Macaca mulatta: one gene and its partner. The protein of the gene in region 2 interacts with the protein of the main gene of each other region in a biochemical or structural test. Links are inferred from orthologs where the notes say so. Each region holds a gene or a part of one and is shown on either strand. Other genes may lie near its edges.

What was found.
Region 1: the proteins of PRMT1 (region 2) and BTG2 form a complex in vitro, tested with the Homo sapiens proteins (2 studies listed by BioGRID). The link is inferred for Macaca mulatta from reciprocal best matches to the Homo sapiens genes PRMT1 and BTG2.

Annotation. Positions count from the first base shown.
Region 1 is NC_133406.1:61,038,666-61,049,024, forward strand, and holds BTG2 (protein BTG2), read left to right. Parts: upstream 1-4,456; 5' UTR 4,457-4,533; coding exon 4,534-4,675; intron 4,676-5,966; coding exon 5,967-6,301; 3' UTR 6,302-6,431; downstream 6,432-10,359. UniProt on the Homo sapiens protein: Anti-proliferative protein; the function is mediated by association with deadenylase subunits of the CCR4-NOT complex. Activates mRNA deadenylation in a CNOT6 and CNOT7-dependent manner. In vitro can inhibit deadenylase activity of CNOT7 and CNOT8.
Region 2 is NC_133424.1:62,133,603-62,143,570, forward strand, and holds part of PRMT1 (protein arginine N-methyltransferase 1), read left to right. Parts: intron 1-165; exon of another isoform or gene 166-261; coding exon of another isoform or gene 262-279; intron 280-512; coding exon 513-614; intron 615-2,266; coding exon 2,267-2,422; intron 2,423-2,549; coding exon 2,550-2,613; intron 2,614-4,886; coding exon 4,887-5,029; intron 5,030-5,704; coding exon 5,705-5,792; intron 5,793-5,872; coding exon 5,873-5,988; intron 5,989-7,501; coding exon 7,502-7,652; coding exon of another isoform or gene 7,653-7,744; intron 7,745-8,044; coding exon of another isoform or gene 8,045-8,102; exon of another isoform or gene 8,103-8,323; coding exon 8,324-8,445; intron 8,446-9,861; coding exon 9,862-9,945; 3' UTR 9,946-9,968. UniProt on the Homo sapiens protein: Arginine methyltransferase that methylates (mono and asymmetric dimethylation) the guanidino nitrogens of arginyl residues present in proteins such as ESR1, histone H2, H3 and H4, FMR1, ILF3, HNRNPA1, HNRNPD, NFATC2IP, SUPT5H, TAF15, EWS, HABP4, SERBP1, RBM15, FOXO1, CHTOP, MAP3K5/ASK1, MICU1 and NPRL2.

The DNA of each region.
Region 1 (10,359 bases), on a different chromosome or scaffold from region 2:
AAGATCCAGTTGCTTCTGAGCTGGAAATGGAGAGCAGGGCTGCATGCTAACCCCACAAACAGCGCCAGCACAGAGGCCTGAGGAGTGGGACCCACTTCTGAATGGGAATATGGTCTGAAGAGAGCAGGTGGGTCACTCCTGAGTGGGTCACACAGGTGGGCCATGCAAGTAGGCGAGGTGAGCAACCAGGACTAGAGGAATCAATAGGTCTGAGGTCAAATGGGACAGAAGTTCTGGTCCAGATGAGGCATAAATGAAGTCCACCCTCACTTCTACCACCCCATTCCCCCTCTTCAGTGGGTGAAGTCACTGGTCAGCACATGTCAACATTTAAAGTTCAAAATTCAACCCAAGACCCTTGGGTGGGAGTGGAGGGAGGGAGAGAAGAATGAGGAGGAAGAGGAGGAGGAGGAAGGGCAGGAATGGAGAAAGAGAAGCAGGAAGGACAGGTGGGGAGGGAGAGGCGACCCATTCTCCTTATCTTGCTGCTCAAACAGCACCTTGATTATACCAAGGAATGGGAAGCAACAGGCAACATGCAAAGAAAAAAAGCAGGGATGACAGCTTGACTTTTAGAGCTTCTAAGGATTCTAGTCCTAGCAATTTAAGAGCAGTTTCAGGAAATTTCAAAAACAGTTGGGACTACTATAATGTATTTGTTCAGAAATTGATTGAGAACCTAAATCCAGAGTTGAGTACAATTACACCGTATGCATATGTATATTTTTAATTAATTATTTTTTATGTTTTGAGATGGATTCTCACTCTGTTGCCCAGGATGGAGTGCAGTGTCGTGATCTCGGCTCACTGCAAACTCTGCCTCCTGGGTTCAACCGATTCTGCTGCCTGAGCCTCTGGAGTAGGCTTTACCAGCGCCCGCCACCACACCCAGCTAATTTATTATTATTATTATTATTATTATTATTACTTATTTTTAGCAGAGACTGGGTTTCGCCATGTTGGCCAGGCTGGTCTCAAACTCCTGTCCTCAAATGATCAGTCTGTCTCAGCCTCCCAAAGTCCTGGGATTACAGGCATGAGCTACCACACCCGGCTACGCTGTATATTGACTTGGGAACTTTGAATGTGAGATAAATTAAGCTTCCTCTCCCTAGGCTTGTGTATAGAAAGAAAAGAGGAGAGTCTGGGCACAATGGCTCACACCTGTAATCCCAGCACTTTGGGAAGCCGAGGTGGGTGGATCACGAGGTCAAGAGATCGAGATCATCCTGGCCAATATGATAAAACCCCACCTCTACTAAAAATACAAAAATAGCTGGGCATGGTGGCACATGCTTGTAGTCCCAGCTACTCGGGAGGCTAAGGCAGGAGAATTGCTTGAACCCGGGAGGCGGAGGTTGCAGTGAGCTGAGATCAGGCCACTGCACTCCAGCCTGATGACAGAGCGAGATCCCATCTCAAAAAAAAAAAAAAAAAAGAAAAAAAAAGAAAAAGAAAAGAGGAGAAAGCGGGGGCACTGCCTTCTGGTATTTATGGATCATATCTGCCCTACACAAAGTTCACAAACTAATCACCAATGAGGAGGCCAAGACACACCCCGGGTAACGGTGGAGACAAAGGGTTCCAGCCTCCCGGCTCCTGTCCCATTCACTACATCATCTGCAATGACAGCTCTGTAGGACGGCGGCCCATGCAACAGCAGCAGAAGGGCACCACAGTCTAATGAAAAGGTCCCATACTTGAAGTCAGAAAATTTGGTCCCAGTCCTGGTTCTCTTGAGAATTCACTGTGTGGCCTGGTGAGTGACAGAAAAATCTACATAAGGACAGAATTCTATTTTCTAAAGCAAAAAACAGGTGAGGGGCTACCACAATATTTTTTTCAGCAGTGCAGTTGCAAGAGATGTTAGGCATCTCCTACGACTCACCCCTGTCACAGACATACCCAGGAAGATGGTTGGTGTTTTCAGATTTAGGTGCTGAATGACCCTATATAGCTGTCTATATCTTGACCTATTTCCCTGACTTCCTTAGTGGTTGACCTTGGTCAGTTCTGGCCTTGCTGACACCTGGTCTGTATGGTTTGGTATATCTTTAAGTTAACTTGTTTCCAGGGTCAGCCCTGTTTCCTGTAACAAATAATTCTTTCCCCTCAGTGAGGAGAAATAATGGCCTCATCTGGCCTGATCCAGCGTTTGGGGAGAAGCCAGTGAAAGAGGCCGTCTAAGAGATACGTTTAATGCCAAAATATTAGAATTTGGGGTCGTTTTGTTATATGAAGCAGTAGAGCAGCATATTTGAATTCTGAATTGTCCCAGAAATGTGGGACATGTGAGCATAGTAACCTGTTTTCAAGTAACTTGCAAACTGTGGTTGAGTCTCTAAAAAGATCACTAACAATGCCAAATGATAGATTGTGAATGCCCAGTGAATGGTATGGATGACTAACTCAGCCTCGAGAGAATGGTCAGCATAGGCTTTCAAGGTGGAAGACCAATATTACACTGTACCTTCAGCAGTGTGAGAGATTGAGGTGGGGGTGGGGCGTGGTAGAGACAATGATGTATGCAGGAGATAAGGACATGAGCCACGGAGCAGCAAGGTCATGCATGTTCAGGCATGCATGGAATGGGGACCACGTTACAGGGCAGAGATGGGGATCATGGGCAAACTGTTGAGGGATCCAGGCTGTAGATTCGCTGTGATACTTAGAGGGCAGTGAGAAGAGTGACCCTGGAACACAAAGTAGCAGAAACCTAAAAAAGCAGATGGGGCTAAATTATGAAGGGTCTTAAACATTAGGCAAAGGAGTCTGGACTGGAATTAGTAGACCAATCTGGGAGGGGATGTTTCGGAATGACCTGATCAAGAGAAGAGCTAGGGAATTAAGTATTTTACCAAGGGAACTCCACTAACAGTGGGAAGGGTGGCCTGGGGATGGGACTGGATGGAATCCACTGCAACCATCTAGACAGAAAGAAGCAACCGATTTGGGGACTGGATCTGGGGAGCAAAGCACAAGGAGAGGCTGACCTTTCTGTACAGAGTGACTGGGAAATGATGGTATGGCTGACAGAAATGGAGATCAAGAGGGAGCTAGCTTTGGAGAAGACAATGGGCTTCCGCTCACATTGAGGTGGTGGCTGGACATCTGAGGGAGAGGACAGAGCTGGTGGGAACAGGAGCAGGATGGAAAGACAGGAGGACAGACTGTGCAGATGAGAAAAGTCACTGTAAAACAGTAAACATCAAGGCAGACTACATGCATAGGACCTCTCCAAGGAAAGGCAGCCTAGAGAAAAGGGAGGAGGACTGAGGAGACATAGTGTGGGGAACGGGGCAGGAAGGGATCCAGGGCCAGCACAGCCAGGCAGTGGGGTGGAGAAGCCTGGGGCATAAGGAAAAAGGACAGGGACACTGCTTCCAGAAGGTGGTCAGAGGGTTCAGAGTTCAAGGAAAATAAGAATTTACAGAGGCCATTGGGTTTGAGTCACCTTACAAACACTGGGCATCTGTATGCCAGACCCTGGGCCAGGCTTCGGGGTGTTGGGTAGAAGTTATCCCCATTCGGAAGACATCCACCGAGTGCCTGTGATGGTGGCGGTCCCTGAGTGTGGAAGAGGGAGACTGAGGCCGGATTCTTTCTCGAGAAGGTCCAATCCACAATAAGGAAGGAAGACGGCTGGGGAAGGAGGGAGTGGACGGAAAAATATGTACAGTTGAGAGCAGACTACTAATTCAAAAAAATTAGCACTTAAGGAAAGTGAGAACTAGAAAAATAAGTTAAGAAGACAAAAGTCTTGCAACACACCCCCTACCCCTATCCACCATAAAACTTAGACTTGAATGTTTCTCAGCAAGAGAAAAGGCATTGCTGCAGAACGGAACTTGTTGTGGGAGGTGGGATTACTACGGAAATAAGCAGAAGACAGCCTCCCTTTCCAAAGAGCCAAGAGGAACCCATTTCATCTAGTTAAGAGACGAGGCAAAGAGGTAAAATGGTGACAACACGTCCTGGTGAGTGGTTCTGACCGTGTATGGTTGGAAAATGCTGTGGGAATCCGAAAGGGGAACCACCTGGGAACGGTTCTGGGAAGCCTTCTGGTGGTGTCACCGAAGGCTTCTCGGAGGAGGTGGCCTCTAACCCGAGCCTTAAAAATGGGAGGAGAGGCGAGGCCGGGGCCTGCCCGGCGCGGAGTACTCGGGAGCCTCCTCCCCGAGCCTCGCTTTCTCCTCTCGTCTCGCTCAGCTCAGCTGGGCGCAGGTTCCTAGCACTGACGTCAGCGAGCGATGACCTCAGCGCCGCCAAGGCTGCGAGGGCGGGGGCTGGGGTGGCGGGGGCGGGGAAGAGCGGCGGAGCGCGGGGCGGGGCGGGGCGGGCCCGAGCCCCGCCCCCATCCGTTGGCCGCGGCCAATGAGCGCCGCCACCGGTTGTCCCCACCTCCCTGGACCTCCTGAAAAAGGCGGCCCGGGGAAAGTCCGGGCAGAGCCCGAGCAGTGGCCAGGGCAGCGCTGGCTTGTGGACCCGTACTTCCCGCCCGAGACCTCTCACTGAGCCCGAGCCGCGCGCGACATGAGCCACGGGAAGGGAACCGACATGCTCCCGGAGATCGCCGCCGCCGTAGGCTTCCTCTCCAGCCTCCTGAGGACCCGGGGCTGCGTGAGCGAGCAGCGGCTTAAGGTCTTCAGCGGGGCGCTCCAGGAGGCACTCACAGGTGAGCGCGTGCCGAGGGGCCTGGCGCCACCGGGGGTCGGCCCCCTCCCTGCCAGGGCCGTCTTTCCTTTACTCCTGCGGCAGGGTCACCCACAGGAGCAGCTTTGGGACTCGGTGGCCCTCCTCCGACCCCCGGGGCGGCCCGCAGTCCCCAGTTTCCTGGGTCTTCCTCCCCAACCCTGTGCTCGGGTCTCGGCCCGTGGCTGTTCTGATGGGGCGCGCCCCTCCACGCTCTCGGAGGCGCAAACCCTGGTCCTGGAGTGCCAGCCCGAGTCCCCAGCTTATGTCCCGGTCTCATTACGGGCTCGTCTCCCTCGCTGGACCCTCGAGATCTTAAGACCCTCGATGGATGTTGTTGCGGGCCGCCCGGTCGGCCGAGGGGTCCCGATGAGGGAAGAAGGTGCAGTCGAGCCTTTTCAACAACTCGGAGTCCCAGTGCCGTTCTTCCTGCCGGTCGGGGTGCGCTGTGCCTGGGGCAGTCCACTGGTTGCTGACTCGCTTCAAGTTGGAATTTGGGCCCCCTTTGTGTTCTCTTTGGTTCCCCTTAGCCATCTGCCACCTATTGTGGTAGGGAGGAGAGCCTGGTAGCTGGTGACCCTGCCCTGCTGGCCTTCGAGTTGGGAGGTGAAGAGATAAGCAGCCCGCTCGCTGGCTGGGGAGAGACCTCTCTCCCAGCTGTTTCTAGCTGGTTGCTGTCAGTTTGGGGAAGCGATAGCCATCTCGGAACGCACCCACACAGACCCTGCCTTCTGAGAAAAACAGATGTTTCATCAAAACAACCCAGTTTTCACTCCCTTGGGCACTGCTAAGGAAGGTTCCCTGACTCTTCTGAAGGAAGCAGAGGGAACACAGGGTGGGAGGCCCAATTACTTGCTGTGGACCCAACAATGTTGGCAGCCTTCCTGGCCCTGAAACTTCAGCTCACAGGTCTCCAGAGGCCCTGCCTGGACATGCCAGCCCCAGTCACACCCTTCCCTCCTGAAACTGGGGGTGTGCCAAAAGCAATACACTGGCCACTGGAGAGTACCCCAGAGCTCTGGAATCCCCTCCCAACATACACACACACACACACACACACACACACGTTCTGGAAGCAGGAAAGCAGATCTCTCCCGCTTCCATAAAATTTTCTCTGCTAAGTGGCAAGAGGGTCCTGGAACTCAGAGGAATCCACCTCCCTTACTTAAAGGGCCCCTTCCTCTCCTGTTCCTTGACCCTCCTCCCTGCTCTGTGGTAGTATCCATGGCCCAGCTGCTCTAACCAGGGCATCTCCCCCCGTCCTGTCTCCACAGAGCACTACAAACACCACTGGTTTCCTGAAAAGCCGTCCAAGGGCTCGGGCTACCGCTGCATTCGCATCAACCACAAGATGGACCCCATCATCAGCAGGGTGGCCAGCCAGATCGGACTCAGCCAGCCCCAGCTGCACCAGCTGCTGCCCAGCGAGCTGACCCTGTGGGTGGACCCCTATGAGGTGTCCTACCGCATTGGGGAGGACGGCTCCATCTGCGTCTTGTACGAGGAGGCCCCAGTGGCCGCCTCCTGTGGGCTCCTCACCTGCAAGAACCAAGTGCTGCTGGGCCGGAGCAGCCCCTCCAAGAACTACGTGATGGCGGTCTCCAGCTAGACCCCTCCGCCCCCGCCCTGGGCGCCGCCGTGCTCATGCTGCCGTGACAACAGGCCACCACATACCTCAACCTGGGGAACTGTATTTTTAAATGAAGAGCTATTTATATATATATTATTTTTTTTTTAAGAAAAGAGGAGGAAAAAAACCAAAAGATTTTTTTTAAGAAAAAAAATCCTTCAAGGGAGCTGCTTGGAAGTGGCCTCCCCAGGTGCCTTTGGAGAGAACTGTTGTGTGTGCTTGAGTCTGTGAGCCAGTGTCTGCCTATAGGAGGGGGAGCTGTTAGGGGGTAGACCTAGCCAAGGTGAAGTGGGAGACGTTTGGCTAGCGCCCCAGGAAGATGGGAGAGGGAGCGAGCAAGATTAGCAACTGTGAACAGAGAGGTTGGGATTTGCCCTGGGGGAGGAAGAGAGGCCAAGTTCAGAACTCTCTGTCTCCCCCAGCCAGACACCTGCATCCCTGGCTCCTCTATTACTCAGGGGCATTCATGCCTAGACTTAAATAATACTATGTTATCTTTTTTTTTTTCCTTTTTCTTTTTAATTATACTTTATATTTCTTTTAATTTTCTAATGAGGTCCTGGGCAGAGAGTGAAAAGGCCTCTCCTGATTCCTACTGTCCTAAGCAGCTTTTCTTGAAATCATGACTTGTTTCTAATTCTACCCTCAGGGGCCTATAGATGTTGCTCTCCAGCCAGGAATCTAAAGCTTTGGGGGTTTTTGTTTTGTTTTGTTTTGTTTCTGAGGGGGGAGGAGGGAACTGGAAGTTACTGGGGTTAGGATGGGAGGGAACTCTGCACAAAACCTTTGCTTTGCTAGTGCTGCTTTGTGTGTATGTGTGGCAAATAATTTGGGGGTGATTTGCAATGGAATTTTGGGACCCAAAGAGTATCCACTGGGGATGTTTTTTGGCCAAACTCTTCTTTTTGGAACCACATGGAAGTCTTGTTGCTGCTGCCATGATCCCTTTGAGAGGTGGCTCAAAAGCTACAGGGAACTCCAGGTCCTCTATTACTGCCTTCTTTTCAAAAGCACAACTCTCCTCTCACCCTCTCCTCCCTCTTCCCTTCCAGTCGGGCCGTGGAGCTACCCTATTTTCTAGGACAAGAGTTCTCAGTCACTGTGCAATATGCCCCCTGGGTCCCAGGAGGGTCTGGAGGAAAACTGGCTCTCGGAACCTCCTGATGCCCTGGTGGGCTTAGGGAACCATCTCTCCTGCTCTCCTTGGGATGATGGCTGGCTGGTCAGCCTTGCATGTATTCCTTGGCTGAATGGGAGAGTGCCCCATGTTCTGCAAGACTACTTGGTATTCTTGCAGGGCCGACACTAAATAAAAGCCAAACCTTGGGCACTGTTTTTTCTCCCTGGTGCTCAGAGCATCTGTGGGAAAGGTTGCTGTCTCTCTCAGTACAATCCAAATTTGTCGTAGACTTGTGCAATATTTACTGTTGTGGGTTGGAGAAAAGTGGAAAGCTACACTGGGAAGAAACTCCCTTCCTTCAATTTCTCAGTGACATGGATGAGGGGTCCTCAAAAGACCTCAAGTTTCCCAAACCGAATCACCTGAAGAAGGACAGGGCTAGGGCATTTGGCCAGGATGGCCACCCTCCTGCTGTTGCCCCTTAGTGAGGAATCTTCCCCCACTTCCTCTACCCCCAGGTTCCCCTCCCCACAGCCAGTCCCCTTTCCTGGATTTCTTAACTGCTCAATTTTGACTCAAAGGTGCTATTTACCAAACACTCTCCCTACCCATTCCTGCCAGCTCTGCCTCCTTTTCAACTCTCCACATTTTGTATTGCCTTCCCAGACCCTGCTTCCAGTCTTTATTGCTTTAAAGTTCACTTTGGGCCCACAGACCCAAGAGCTAATTTTCTGGCTTGTGGGTTGAAACAAAGCTGTGAATCACTGCAGGCTGTGTTCTTGCATCTTGTCTGCAAACAGGTCCCTGCCTTTTTAGAAGCAGCCCCATGGTCTCATGCTTAATCTTGTCTCTCTTCTCTTCTTGATGATGTTCACTTTAAAAACAACGAAACCCCCGAGCTGGACTGTTGAGCAGACCTGTCTCTCCTATTAAGTAAAAATAAATAATAGTAGCATGTTTGTAAGCTATTCTGACAGAAAAGACAAAGGTTACTAATTGTATGATAGTGTTTTTATATGGAAGAATGTACAGCTTATGGACAAATGTACACCTTTTTGTTACTTTAATAAAAATGTAGCAGGATAAACTTGTGTGGCGTAGAGAAGATAAAATTCTCACATTGTACATTTGCGTTTCCCTTTCAGATCCAAATCCTTTCTTTGCGTTTAATAGTATTTCTCCTCAGTTGCACTCAATCTACAGCATGTGGGTGGCATAAAAGAAAAATCTGGTTGTATGGCTGGGCCATTTCCAAGCATCCCCTCTTCCCTGGAAAGTAGCTCGTTACTTCCCTGTTTTTGTTGTTTTTTTTGTTTTGTGTGTGTGTGTGTGTGTGTGTGTGTGTGTGTGTGTGTGTGTGTATTTTTTGTTTTTGTTTTGTTTTTGAGACAGGGTCTCGTTCTGTCGCTCAGGCTGGAGTGCAGTGGTGCAATCTCAGCTCATTGCAACCTCTGCCTCCTGGGCTCAGATAATTCTCCCACCTCTGCCTCTTGAGTAGCTGAGACTGCAGGCATGTGCCACCACACCTGGCTGATTTTTGTAATTTTTGTAGGGACGGGGTTTTGCCATGTTGCCCAGGCTGGTCTCAAACTCCTGAGCTCAAGTGGTCCCCCTGCCTTCGCCTCCCAAAGTGCTGGGATTACAGGCGTGAGCCACCATGCCCAGCCTACTTCCACCTTTAATGAGGATTCTAATTTCCCTGTGAAGATGCTAGAAGTAACAGGGTTCTAGTCTGAACATTCCCTAGTCTAGTCAGATCTCCATCTTATGCATCTTGTTTTTTTGTTTTTGACAGTCCTTCATTTCATTCATTCATTCAGTCAGTCATTCATTTAGCAAGCATGTATTGTCAGTAAGTGCTAGGCACTGAACATATTAAAAATGATTAAGACAGAGCCTGTCTCAATAATCAGGGTTTGGTAAGCAGCAGGTAATGAACTCCTTCCCAGGCTAAGGCAGGATTGTTGGCAATTCCCAGTAAAGGTGCTCTTGTCATCTCTGGGGCTGCCATTTGCTACCCACCATACTTGTCTTGTTAGACAAGAGCAGCTAGTCCTCAGGATCTATGCACTGGAGCTGAATGCCAATGCTGCAGGTTAGCCAAAGAGCAGCTACTTCTGACAGCAAACACTGGAGTGAGAGCCAAAAGTTTGTGACCAATTTATAACTCCCTTTGGCTACATGCAAGGAAATAACAGTTTTTATCCTCCCTGACTTTTGAGTTCTTTCCATGAGATTTTTGACACAAGCCGAGTTTCCCACTGAGGGCAAGTACATTCCCGACCTGGTCTAGTTTTTTCTTGGCTGTAGGTGAGCTGTATTTATTTATTTATTTGTTTATTTATTTGAGATGGAGTCTCGCTCGCTCTTGTCGCCTAGGCTGGAGTGCAGTGGTATGATCTTGGCTCACTGCAACCTCCGCCTTCCGGGTTCAAGCGATTGTCCTGCCTCAGCCTCTGGAGTAGCTGGGATTACAGGTGCCCGCCACCATGCCTGGCTAATTTTTGTACTTTTAGTATAAGAGACAGGGTTTCACCATGTTAGCCAGGATGGTCTCGAACTCCTGATCTGAGGTGATCCGCCCGCCTTGGCCTCCCAAAGTGCTGGGATTACAGATGTGAGTCACTGCACCGGGCAGTGACCTGTATTTAAACTAAATTTTACACATGTTGCTTCATATAAAATGACAACTCCCCCAACTTCATTTCATACCTCCATGACCTTTATCAACAAGCATATAGTTTTCTCTAGGTGTGCTATGTTGGAGGTAGCCCAGGGAGACTGTGTGTGCTATGCCTGTATTGAGTGAGGAGGGTAGGGGAGCCAGGGATGGGGTTAGGGGAGGCCAGGTCATTTGTATCATAAATAGAATTTGGTTAAATTCATTGTATCAAGGGGTTGTTAATTGAAAGGAGTA
Region 2 (9,968 bases):
ATATTTTGCCACACATCTGGCCCTTTCTTGAGGTCTAACCATACCCCTCTTGCTTCAAACCAGTTTACTGCAGGACCCCAAACACTTAGTAGCAACCCCTCCAGGTTCACAGCCCCCGCTGGCCTCCCCCAGTATCTCGGCTACTTCCTTAACTCCACCTCCAACCCCCCTTTGCCCTTCCCTGTGTCTGCCCCCATTTTCCTTCCCCTCCCCTCCCCAGCTGTGGGCTGAGCTAGAGACGGGGGCAGAGAGACTGGAGAGATGGTAGGCATGGCTGAGGTATCGGGGTGCTCCCCTGGATGGTGCTCTGTGGGGGTCTTGGAAGTGGAAAATGGGGTTGTTAGGTTTTGGGGTTCTTGGGGGGCAAGATGGCAGGCGGGGGCTGTAGGGTTGTAATGGTATGATTTTGGGGGGTTCTATACTACTGTTCAGGGAAAAGTAGGGACCTGGAGGTTTAAGAGACTGTGGGGAGCCCCCAGATCTGACCCATGATCCCATCGGCCCCCTCCCAGGTGTCCTGTGGCCAGGCGGAAAGCAGCGAGAAGCCCAATGCTGAGGACATGACATCCAAAGATTACTACTTTGACTCCTACGCCCACTTTGGCATCCACGAGGTCAGTGGGGACAGCCCCCAAGGCCCCAATCTTAAAGGGGTTAAATGTTGGGGAAGGGGTGGAACCTGTTTTCCCACGCATGCGCACTGCTTCCCCTGGCAGCAGGCCGCCCCTCTGCCCCTCTGCTGCGCACCCCTTAGGGTCGCCTCGCCAAGTCGTTGCCTTGGAGACCGAGGTTAGCCTGAATCTCTGCAGGGGCCTCTCACCGATGGCTGGGGTAGGAGCGTGCATGCGTGCTTGGGGCCTTAGGCCGCGGTCGGTCAGGGCCCACGGTCTCTGCCGCCCTCTAGTGACTGGCGGTGGGACTGCACCTGGCTGCTCCCGGCCTGACAGCTTCTGCACCCTTGAGATCTGACTGAAGACTCTGAAATCCCAGAACGAAGCAGGAGTGGCATTCTAAGGAATTTTCTTTTCCCCCTGAGGCCTTTTTCATAAAATTATGGCAAAATATGCATAAAATTGCCATTTTTCATTTTTAGAGACAGGGTCTCGCTCTGTCGCCCAGGTTAGAGCACAGTGGTACAATCGTGGCTCACCGCAGCCTCGACCTCCCCAGCTCAGGTGTTCCCCCCACTTCCGCTTTCGGAGTAGCTGGCACCACAGGCGTGCGCCACCACTCCCAGCTGATTTTCTTATTTTTCTTTTTTTTTTTTTTTTTTTTTTTTTTTTTTTTTTTTTTTTTTGAGACGGAGTCTCACGCTGTTGCCCAGGCTGGAGTGCAGTGGCGCGATCTCGGCTCACTGCAAGCTCCGCCTCCCGGGTTCCCGCCATTCTCCTGCCTCAGCCTCCTGAGTAGCTGGGACTACAGGCGCCCGCCACCGCGCCCGGCTAATTTTTTGTATTTTTAGTAGAGACGGGGTTTCACCGTGGTCTCGATCTCCTGACCTTGTGATCCGCCCGCCTCGGCCTCCCAAAGTGCTGGGATTACAGGCTTGAGCCACCGCGCCCGGCCGATTTTCTTATTTTTCTGTAGAGATAGTCTTGCCTTGTTGCCCAGGCTGGTCTCAAAGTCTTGGGCTCAAGTGATCTTCCAGCTTTGGCATCCTGAGGTGCTGGGATTACAGGCATGAGCCTCTTCCCCCAGCCTGAGGACTTGTAAAAGCCAAGGGTTCGCTGGTTCTTAGGTGGCAGTGGTGAAGTCTGGCCAAGATGGGAGTTTAGTTCTCTGATTTTTTAAAAAGGGAAACTGGCTGGGCACGGTGGCTCACGCCTGTAATCACAGCACTTTAGGGGGCCGAGGTGGGTGGATCACCTGAGGTCAGGAGTTCAAGACCAGCCTGGGCAATATGGTGAAATCCCATCTCTGTGAAAAATACAAAAATTAGCCAGGCATGGCGGTGTGTGCCTGTAATCGAAACTACTCGGGAGGCTGAGGCAGGAGAATCGCTCGAACCCAGGAGGCAGAGGTTGCAGTGAGCTGAGATTGCCCCACTGCACTCCAGCCTGGGCAACTGAGTGAGATTCCGTCTCAAAAAATAAAATAAAATAAAATAAAATAAAAATAAATAACTGAATAAATAAAAAAGGGAAACTGAGGTGCATGGAAGGAAGCAAGAGGACGGAGTTCCGGCCCTCCGAGCTCTCAGGACACACTGTTCTTCAGCGGGGAATGTGGGGCCCCTCACGGCATCTCTGTGCCGTTCTTCCCTCAGGAGATGTTGAAGGACGAGGTGCGTACCCTCACGTACCGCAACTCCATGTTTCACAACCGGCACCTCTTCAAGGACAAGGTGGTGCTGGACGTCGGCTCGGGCACCGGCATCCTCTGCATGTTCGCCGCCAAGGCCGGGGCCCGCAAGGTCATTGGGGTGAGTCTCCGGGGCTTCCAGGCAGGGCCAGGCCTGGGGAATGGAGGGGGGCCATCAGGGCTCAGGGATGGGACGGAGGGGATGGGGACGGGATAGGTCTCACTCTCCCTTCTCCCTGGGCCCTCAGATCGAGTGTTCCAGTATCTCTGATTATGCGGTGAAGATCGTCAAAGCCAACAAGTTAGACCACGGTGAGCCCAGAAAGAGGATGGGTTTGTGGGAGCGGAGGGGGTGATGCGCCGCTTCCCCAGGGCCCTCTGAAGAGCAGTGGGGTCTACGGATGGCCACAGATTCAGCGGCTCCCCACCCATGGTCTTCTGGGCTGCCGGCCACCTGAGAATTTGAGTGTCAAAATCACAAGCTTAGCACCTCCGTCTTAAAATTAGGGCAAGAAGCACTCTCTAGTTTCTTGAATGAGTAATAGAGTCACGTGGTTGGCCACTGTTCTCACAGTGAGAAGCCTGCCCTGTTTCCCAGCTGCCCTCCTCCGAGTTTAACCAACACTAACTTCTAGAGACGTCTGGACCTACAAACACATATATATGTAAATGTGTTTACATTCACGCGCATAATTTTCACGCCGGTAGCATTTCATACCAGCCTCTTGCCCTTGGCTTCTTAAACACCTGCTTGTCATGTCGTTTAACATATTCCAGGCCGGGCGCGGTGGCTCAAGCCTGTAATCCCAGCACTTTGGGAGGCCGAGGCGGGCGGATCACAAGGTCAGGAGATCGAGACCATCCTGGCTAACCTGGTGAAACCCCGTCTCTACTAAAAAATACAAAAAATTTGCCGGGCGTGATGGCGGGCGCCTGTAGTCCCAGCTACTCGGGAGGCTGAGGCAGGAGAATGGCGTAAACCCGGGAGGCGGAGCTTGCAGTGAGCTGAGATCCGGCCACTGCACTCCAGCCTGGGCAACAGAGCGAGACTCCGTCTCAAAAAAAAAAAAAAAAAAAAAACATATTTCAGGATGTTGCAGCATCCACTCTTTTCCGTGACCACCATTGTAGGTACATCCCAGCTTTTTTTTTTTTTTTTTTTTTTTGAGACGGATTCTCGCTCTGTCACCCAGGCTGGAGTACAGTGGCGCGATCTCGGCTCACTGCAAGCTTCGCCTCCCAGGTTCACACCATTCTCCTGCCTCAGCCTCCCGAGTAGCTGGGATTACAGGTGCCCGCCACCATGCCTGACTAATTTTTTTGTATTTTTAGTAGAGACGGGGTTTCACCGTGTTAGTCAGGATGGCCTCGATCTTCTGACCTGTGATCCGCCTGCCTCAGCCTCCCAAAGTGCTGGGATTACAGGCGTGAAATTTTTTTTTTTTTTTTTGTATTTTTTTAGTTGAGACGTGGTTTCACCATGTTGGCCAGGCTGGTCTTGAACTCACCTCAGGTGATCTGCCCACCTTGGCCTCCCAAAGTGCTGAGATTGGGGAATTTTTTAAAAGAGATTATTATAATGAACATCCAAGTCCATTTGAAGCAAATTCCCACTGTGATGTAATTTTCCTGGTAAATGCGTTTGCATGTGTCTTATCTAATAGATAAGGCTGTTTTGAGAATGTGACCATGCTCTTACTTATTATATCAAGCCTGCCCAGTTAAAAACAAAATCGTGGCCGGGCGCGGTGGCTCAAGCCTGTAATCCCAGCACTTTGGGAGGCCGAGACGGGTGGATCACGAGGTCAGGAGATCGAGACCATCCTGGATAACACGGTGAAACCCCGTCTCTACTAAGAAATACAAAAAACTAGCCGGGCGAGGTGGCGGGTGCCTGTAGTCCCAGCTACTCGGGAGGCTGAGGCCGGAGAATGGCGTGAACCCGGGAGGCGGAGCTTGCAGTGAGCTGAGATCCGGCCACTGCACTCCAGCCTGGGCTACAGAGCGAGACTCCGTCTCAAAAAAAAAAAAAAACAAACAAAAAAACAAAACCAAAATCGTGACTGGGCGCAGTGGCTCACGCCTGTAATCCCAGCACTTTGGGAGGCCAAGGTGGGCGGATCACGAGGTCAGGAGATCGAGACCACCCTGGCTAACATGGTGAAACACCGTCTCTACTAAAAATACAAAAAAATGAGCCGGGCGTGGTGGCGGGCCCCTGTAGTCTCAGCTACTGGGGAGGCTGAGGCAGGAGAATGGTGTGAACCTGGGAGGCGGAGCTTGCAGTGAGCCGAGATCGTGCCACTGCACTCCAGCCTGGGCAACAGAGTGAGACTCCGTCTCAAAAAAAAATAAAAATAAAAAAATCATTACATTGCCTGATACCCAGTTCACATAAAATTTCTGCTCCTGCCTCAAAAATGTCCAGAGCCATGTATGAATTTTAAAACAGTTAAGAGGGTTCATGGCTTCTGCTCACCGAGTTCTCTGAACTGAGTGGGGTCCCCAGGCTGTGGCCCCCGGGGGAGGGGAGGTGAGGGGCAAGCCTCCTGGGGGCTGACGTGGCCGCCCTTGTCTGCCCGCAGTGGTGACCATCATCAAGGGGAAGGTGGAGGAGGTAGAGCTCCCGGTGGAGAAGGTGGACATCATCATCAGCGAGTGGATGGGCTACTGCCTCTTCTACGAGTCCATGCTCAACACCGTGCTCTACGCCCGGGACAAGTGGCTGGTGAGGCCCCAGCGAACGGGTGCAGCTCGCATGGGCTGGGGGCCAAAAGCACTCAATTTTTCCCACAGACGGGACTTACTATGGGGGTGTGGCTGCAAGGTGTTAGAAGGCCACAGCCCGAGCCAGGTGTGACAGACCCTGGTGGGAGATGGTGCGATGTGGGGGGGTTTGTAGGAACAGGAAAACTGTAGCAGGGCACTAGACCAGGTTCTCCGGCCCCAGCAGGCCGCCCCGGGAGAGGTAAGGTGACCGAGAGCTGGATGAAGATGTGGAGGGGTGGCCAGGGCAGGTGTTCCCTTGCTGCATGTGGAGCAGCAGGGAGGCCCGTGTGGAAGGAGGGTCTAGAAGGGCAGCAGGAGGAGCAGTGGAGGTAAGGGGTGACAGGGCATGTGCAGATTTTGTGGGGCCTTATGGGACCCCGCGCGACTTTGCTTTTCCTCTCAGAGCAGCCAGGGAGGGTCTGAGGATCCCCAGAACCTCGAGGGACAGGAGCTGACTGAGGTGCCCCTGGGTGCCCTCTGGCGGCCGTGTGGGAAATAGACCAGGGGGTGAGGGGTGAGTGCCGCTGCGACATGAGGGTGGCTCAGACCAGGGCAGAAGGTCACATCTCGGGGGCAAGAGTCAGGGCAGCATTGCCAGGCCCCACCCTTCATGCCTCGCCCTGCCCCTCTGCAGGCGCCCGATGGCCTCATCTTCCCAGACCGGGCCACGCTGTATGTGACGGCCATCGAGGACCGGCAGTACAAAGACTACAAGATCCACTGTGAGCGTGGCCCAGGAGCGGGCGGGCGGGGCCCCGGGTGGGCTGCCGCGGGCTCACCCCCTCCCTGCCTGCCTCCCCAGGGTGGGAGAACGTGTATGGCTTCGACATGTCTTGCATCAAAGATGTGGCCATCAAGGAGCCCCTAGTGGATGTGGTGGACCCCAAACAGCTGGTCACCAATGCCTGCCTCATAAAGGTGAGGGGGGGGTGGGCATGGCCAGGTGCCCCCTGGGTTGAAACCAAAGAGAGGCCATCACCTGGCCCTGGCATGGGACTTTGGGGCCCAGAGTGTTGGCCTGAGGTCTCAGAGCCTGACCTGCCAGCCAGAGGTGGTGCTAGGGGCCCAGGAAAGACATTTCATCCTTTAAACATCTTTGTGAGCGCTGCCGTGTGAGAACCACGTTTGGCACTTGGTGTCCGGCAGAGGACACACCCGCAGCTGGTAGCTAAAGCCCACAGCCCGTACACGGGAAGGCAGGACCCGGGGCGATGAGCGGGTGCACACGCTGCAGAAGAGCAGGGGGCCAGGCTGGGATCCGAGATGTGCCTGTGGTTGCAGCTACTCAGGAGGCTGAGGCGGGAGGATCTCTTGGGCCTGGGAGTTCAAGGCTGCAGTGAGCTGTGATCACATCCCTGCACTCCAGCCTTGGTGACAGTGTTTTGTTTTGTTTTTAACTTTTTTTAACTTCTGAGACCCTGTTTGTTTATTTATTTATTTTTTCTTTTTTTTTTGAGACGGAGTCTTGCTCTGTCGCCCAGGCTGGGGTGCAGTGGCCGGATCTCAGCTCACTGCAAGCTCCGCCTCCCGGGTTTATGCCATTCTCCTACCTCAGCCTCCCGAGTAGCTGGGACTACAGACTCCCGCCAACCCGCCTGGCTAGTTTTTTTTTTTTTTTTTTGCATTTTTTAGTAGAGATGGGGTTTCACTGTGTTAGCCAGGATGGTCTCGATCTCCTGACCTTGTGATCCGCCCGTCTCGGCCTCCCAAAGTGCTGGGATTACAGGCTTGAGCCACCGCGCCCGGCCGACCCTGTTTAAAAAAAAAAAAATAAGGCAACGAGTATTTGTTGAGCTGGGATGTGTGAGCCGGGTGAAGCTGGGTGGTTGGCCGGGGGTTCCTGTGGGGAGGAGGAAGCTGTTGAGTGGGAATGGAGAGGAGACTGGAGGGGCAGGGACCCCACCCAGGCCACCCTCCTGAGAACCAGCGGAACTGGTGCAGGGTTTTCAGTTGGTGTTTGGATTGCCGTTTGAAGCCATCATGCTGGTGGACTTGTGAAGGGTTGGGGAGAGTGGGGAGCGCGGAGAGGGGGGAGCGCGGAGAGGGTGGAGCGCGGAGGGGGGAGCGCGGAGAGCGGGGAGCACGGAGAGGGGGGAGCGTGGAGAGGGGGGAGCAGGGTGCCTGCATTCCCAGGAGGTCTGGCCAGGTGGGGTCGGGGCGGGGTGGGCTCTGGACAGAGTTAGGGTGGCGGCGCCAGGTTTGGGTGCGGGAGAGAAGGGAGCAAAGAATCTGGGCTCAAACCGAGGCGGTTTATTGGGAGCCGGACAGTCAGGATGAGGAGTGAATGAGGAGCTGAGGCTGGGTGCCAGTAAGGGAGGGCCAGCGGGAAGGGGACAGTGAGGTCACAGGCCCTCTGGGAGCTTGAGGGAGGGAGGAGGGGATGAAGCGAGGTGGGGACACATCCCGGAGCTCACCCTCTCCTGTCCTGCAGGAGGTGGACATCTACACCGTCAAGGTGGAAGACCTGACGTTCACCTCCCCGTTCTGCCTGCAAGTGAAGCGGAATGACTACGTGCACGCCCTGGTGGCCTACTTCAACATCGAGTTCACGCGCTGCCACAAGAGGACGGGCTTCTCCACCAGTGAGGCGGGGCCCGCAGGGCTGGGGGCTGCTCCTGAGCCAGGGCCGAGGGGCACCCACATAGTGGAGGGGGTGACAGAAACGGGCAGAGGGGCCGGGCACGGTGGCTCAAGCCTGTAATCCCAGCACTTTGGGAGGCCGAGGCGGGTGGATCACGAGGTCAGGAGATCGAGACTATCCTGGCTAACATGGTGAAACCCCGTCTCTACTAAAAATACAAAAAACTAGCCGGGCATGGTGGCGGGCGCCTGTAGTCTCAGCTACTTGGGAGGCTGAGGCGGCAGAATGGCGTGAACCTGGGAGGCGGAGCTTGCAGTGAGCCGAGATCACGCCACTGCACTCCAGCCTGGGAGACACAGCGAGACTCCGTCTCAAAAAAAAAAAAAAAAAAAGAAACGGGCAGAGGGAGCCATGGGGACATGTGTGTTCCAGCGTGAGCTCTGCCATGTAGCAGTCACATGGCCTTGGGCAAGTGACCTGAGTGTGCAGTGCCTCAGTTTCCTCATCCACAAAAGCCTGACACGGTCCCTGTCTCCAAAGCTGAATGACAGGGAGGTGACTCACGGACAGCAGTCCCGTCAGCTGTCAGGGGGGTGGACATTCCAACAGAGGGAACACAAGACTGGGGCCAGGGCAGCAGGCCAAGGCCAGCTGACCCGCCTGCGCCCCCAGGCCCTGAGTCCCCGTACACGCACTGGAAGCAGACAGTGTTCTACATGGAGGACTACCTGACCGTGAAGACGGGCGAGGAGATCTTCGGCACCATCGGCATGCGGCCCAATGCCAAGAACAACGTGAGGCTCTGGGCAGCTGGGCAGGAGGGTGGCAGCCGGGGTGGGGAGCATGGATAGGGGCAGTGGTAGGGGGGAATGGTGGCAGCGTAGGGGATGGGGGTAGCTGGGGCGGATGGGGGCAGCTGGCAGGGGCGAGTGCCTCTGCCTGTTCCCGGGTCCCTGAGCCCCTCAGCCCCACGCCTGTCTACACAGCAGATTTCTTAGCATTTACTGGAAGATGGGCCTGGGGACCCAGGCCAAAGCCCTGTCCTCCTGGTGCTTCCAGTCTACACAAGGGGATCAGTGACATGGTGATGCCAGTGGGAGGTGACGTCTGTCAGGCTGGGAGCAGGGCAGACAGGTGTTGGCGTGGGTGACCTCCAGGGCAAGAGGCGGCCCCGGTAGAGCGCACAGGGTTTGCTAGCCCAGGTGGGAGGCATGAGAGGAGGAGAAAGGCAGCTTTTTGTTTTCCACTCCCCCTTTTTCCTCCTGAGCACCTGGTAGGAGCTGCCATCACCTGAGATCAGGGGGTTTCCAGGGGAGCTGGGGGGGGCTTCTGGGAGAGAGGGTCTGGGCAGAGAGGTCCAGTGTGGCGGGTTTGAGCAGGCAGGAGGATGGAAGGCCGGGAGCCTGGAGTCACCGGGAGTGGTGTGGGCTGGAAGAGTGAGTCCCGGCCCATGGGTGCGAGGGTGGGTGGCACTCAGGGCAGTCATGGAATGTGGGCCCCGGGACGCCCTCGAGCCCGTGACAGCAGCAGTTGTCAGCTGGGCAGTTTCAGTGCCCCCCACCCCCGACAGAGGACGTTCGTCACCATCTGTGGAAACATTTGTGGTTGTCACTCTGGAGAAGGGGTGCTCCTGGCATCTGGTATGTAGGGGCCAGGGGCTGGTAAACGTCCTACAACCACAGGACCACCCCCTGCAAAGACTCCTGTAGCCCCTGGGGCCACGGCGCTAGCTGGGAAACAGATACTGGAGAGGGAGGAGGAGTCCTCGGGGCTGTTGGCAACTTGATCCCCTCTTCCTGTGCTGGAGGGTATGGGGGGTCTTCCGGAAGCCTGGGAGGAGAAGTGGAGACAGAGGCTGGACCACTGCGTTTCACTGGAATGTTTGCCTGAGCAGAAGTGGGCTTGGGAGAGGTTTTCTGATTTATGAAAGAAGCAATCACTGCGTTGCTGATAGGGAACGTCTTGATGGAGAAATCCAAGGGCAAGGGATAGCAGCCAGGCTCTGCTCCTGAGTGAACCTAGTGGGCTTGAGGGTGTCCACGTGGCGCTGTCCCTTGACAGGGTCAGGACAGCTGCTAGGGTGGGACCAGCAGTTGGGGTCTGCAGTGTGGAGATGGGCAGGAAGCTGGAGCCCAGCGCATGGCCTGCCTGCACCCCCCTGCCACCACCTCCTGGTGGGTTCCGCCCTCATGCCCGCCCTCTCCCCACAGCGGGACCTGGACTTCACCATCGACCTGGACTTCAAGGGCCAGCTGTGCGAGCTGTCCTGCTCCACTGACTACCGGATGCGCTGAGGCCCGGCTCTCCCGCCCTGCAC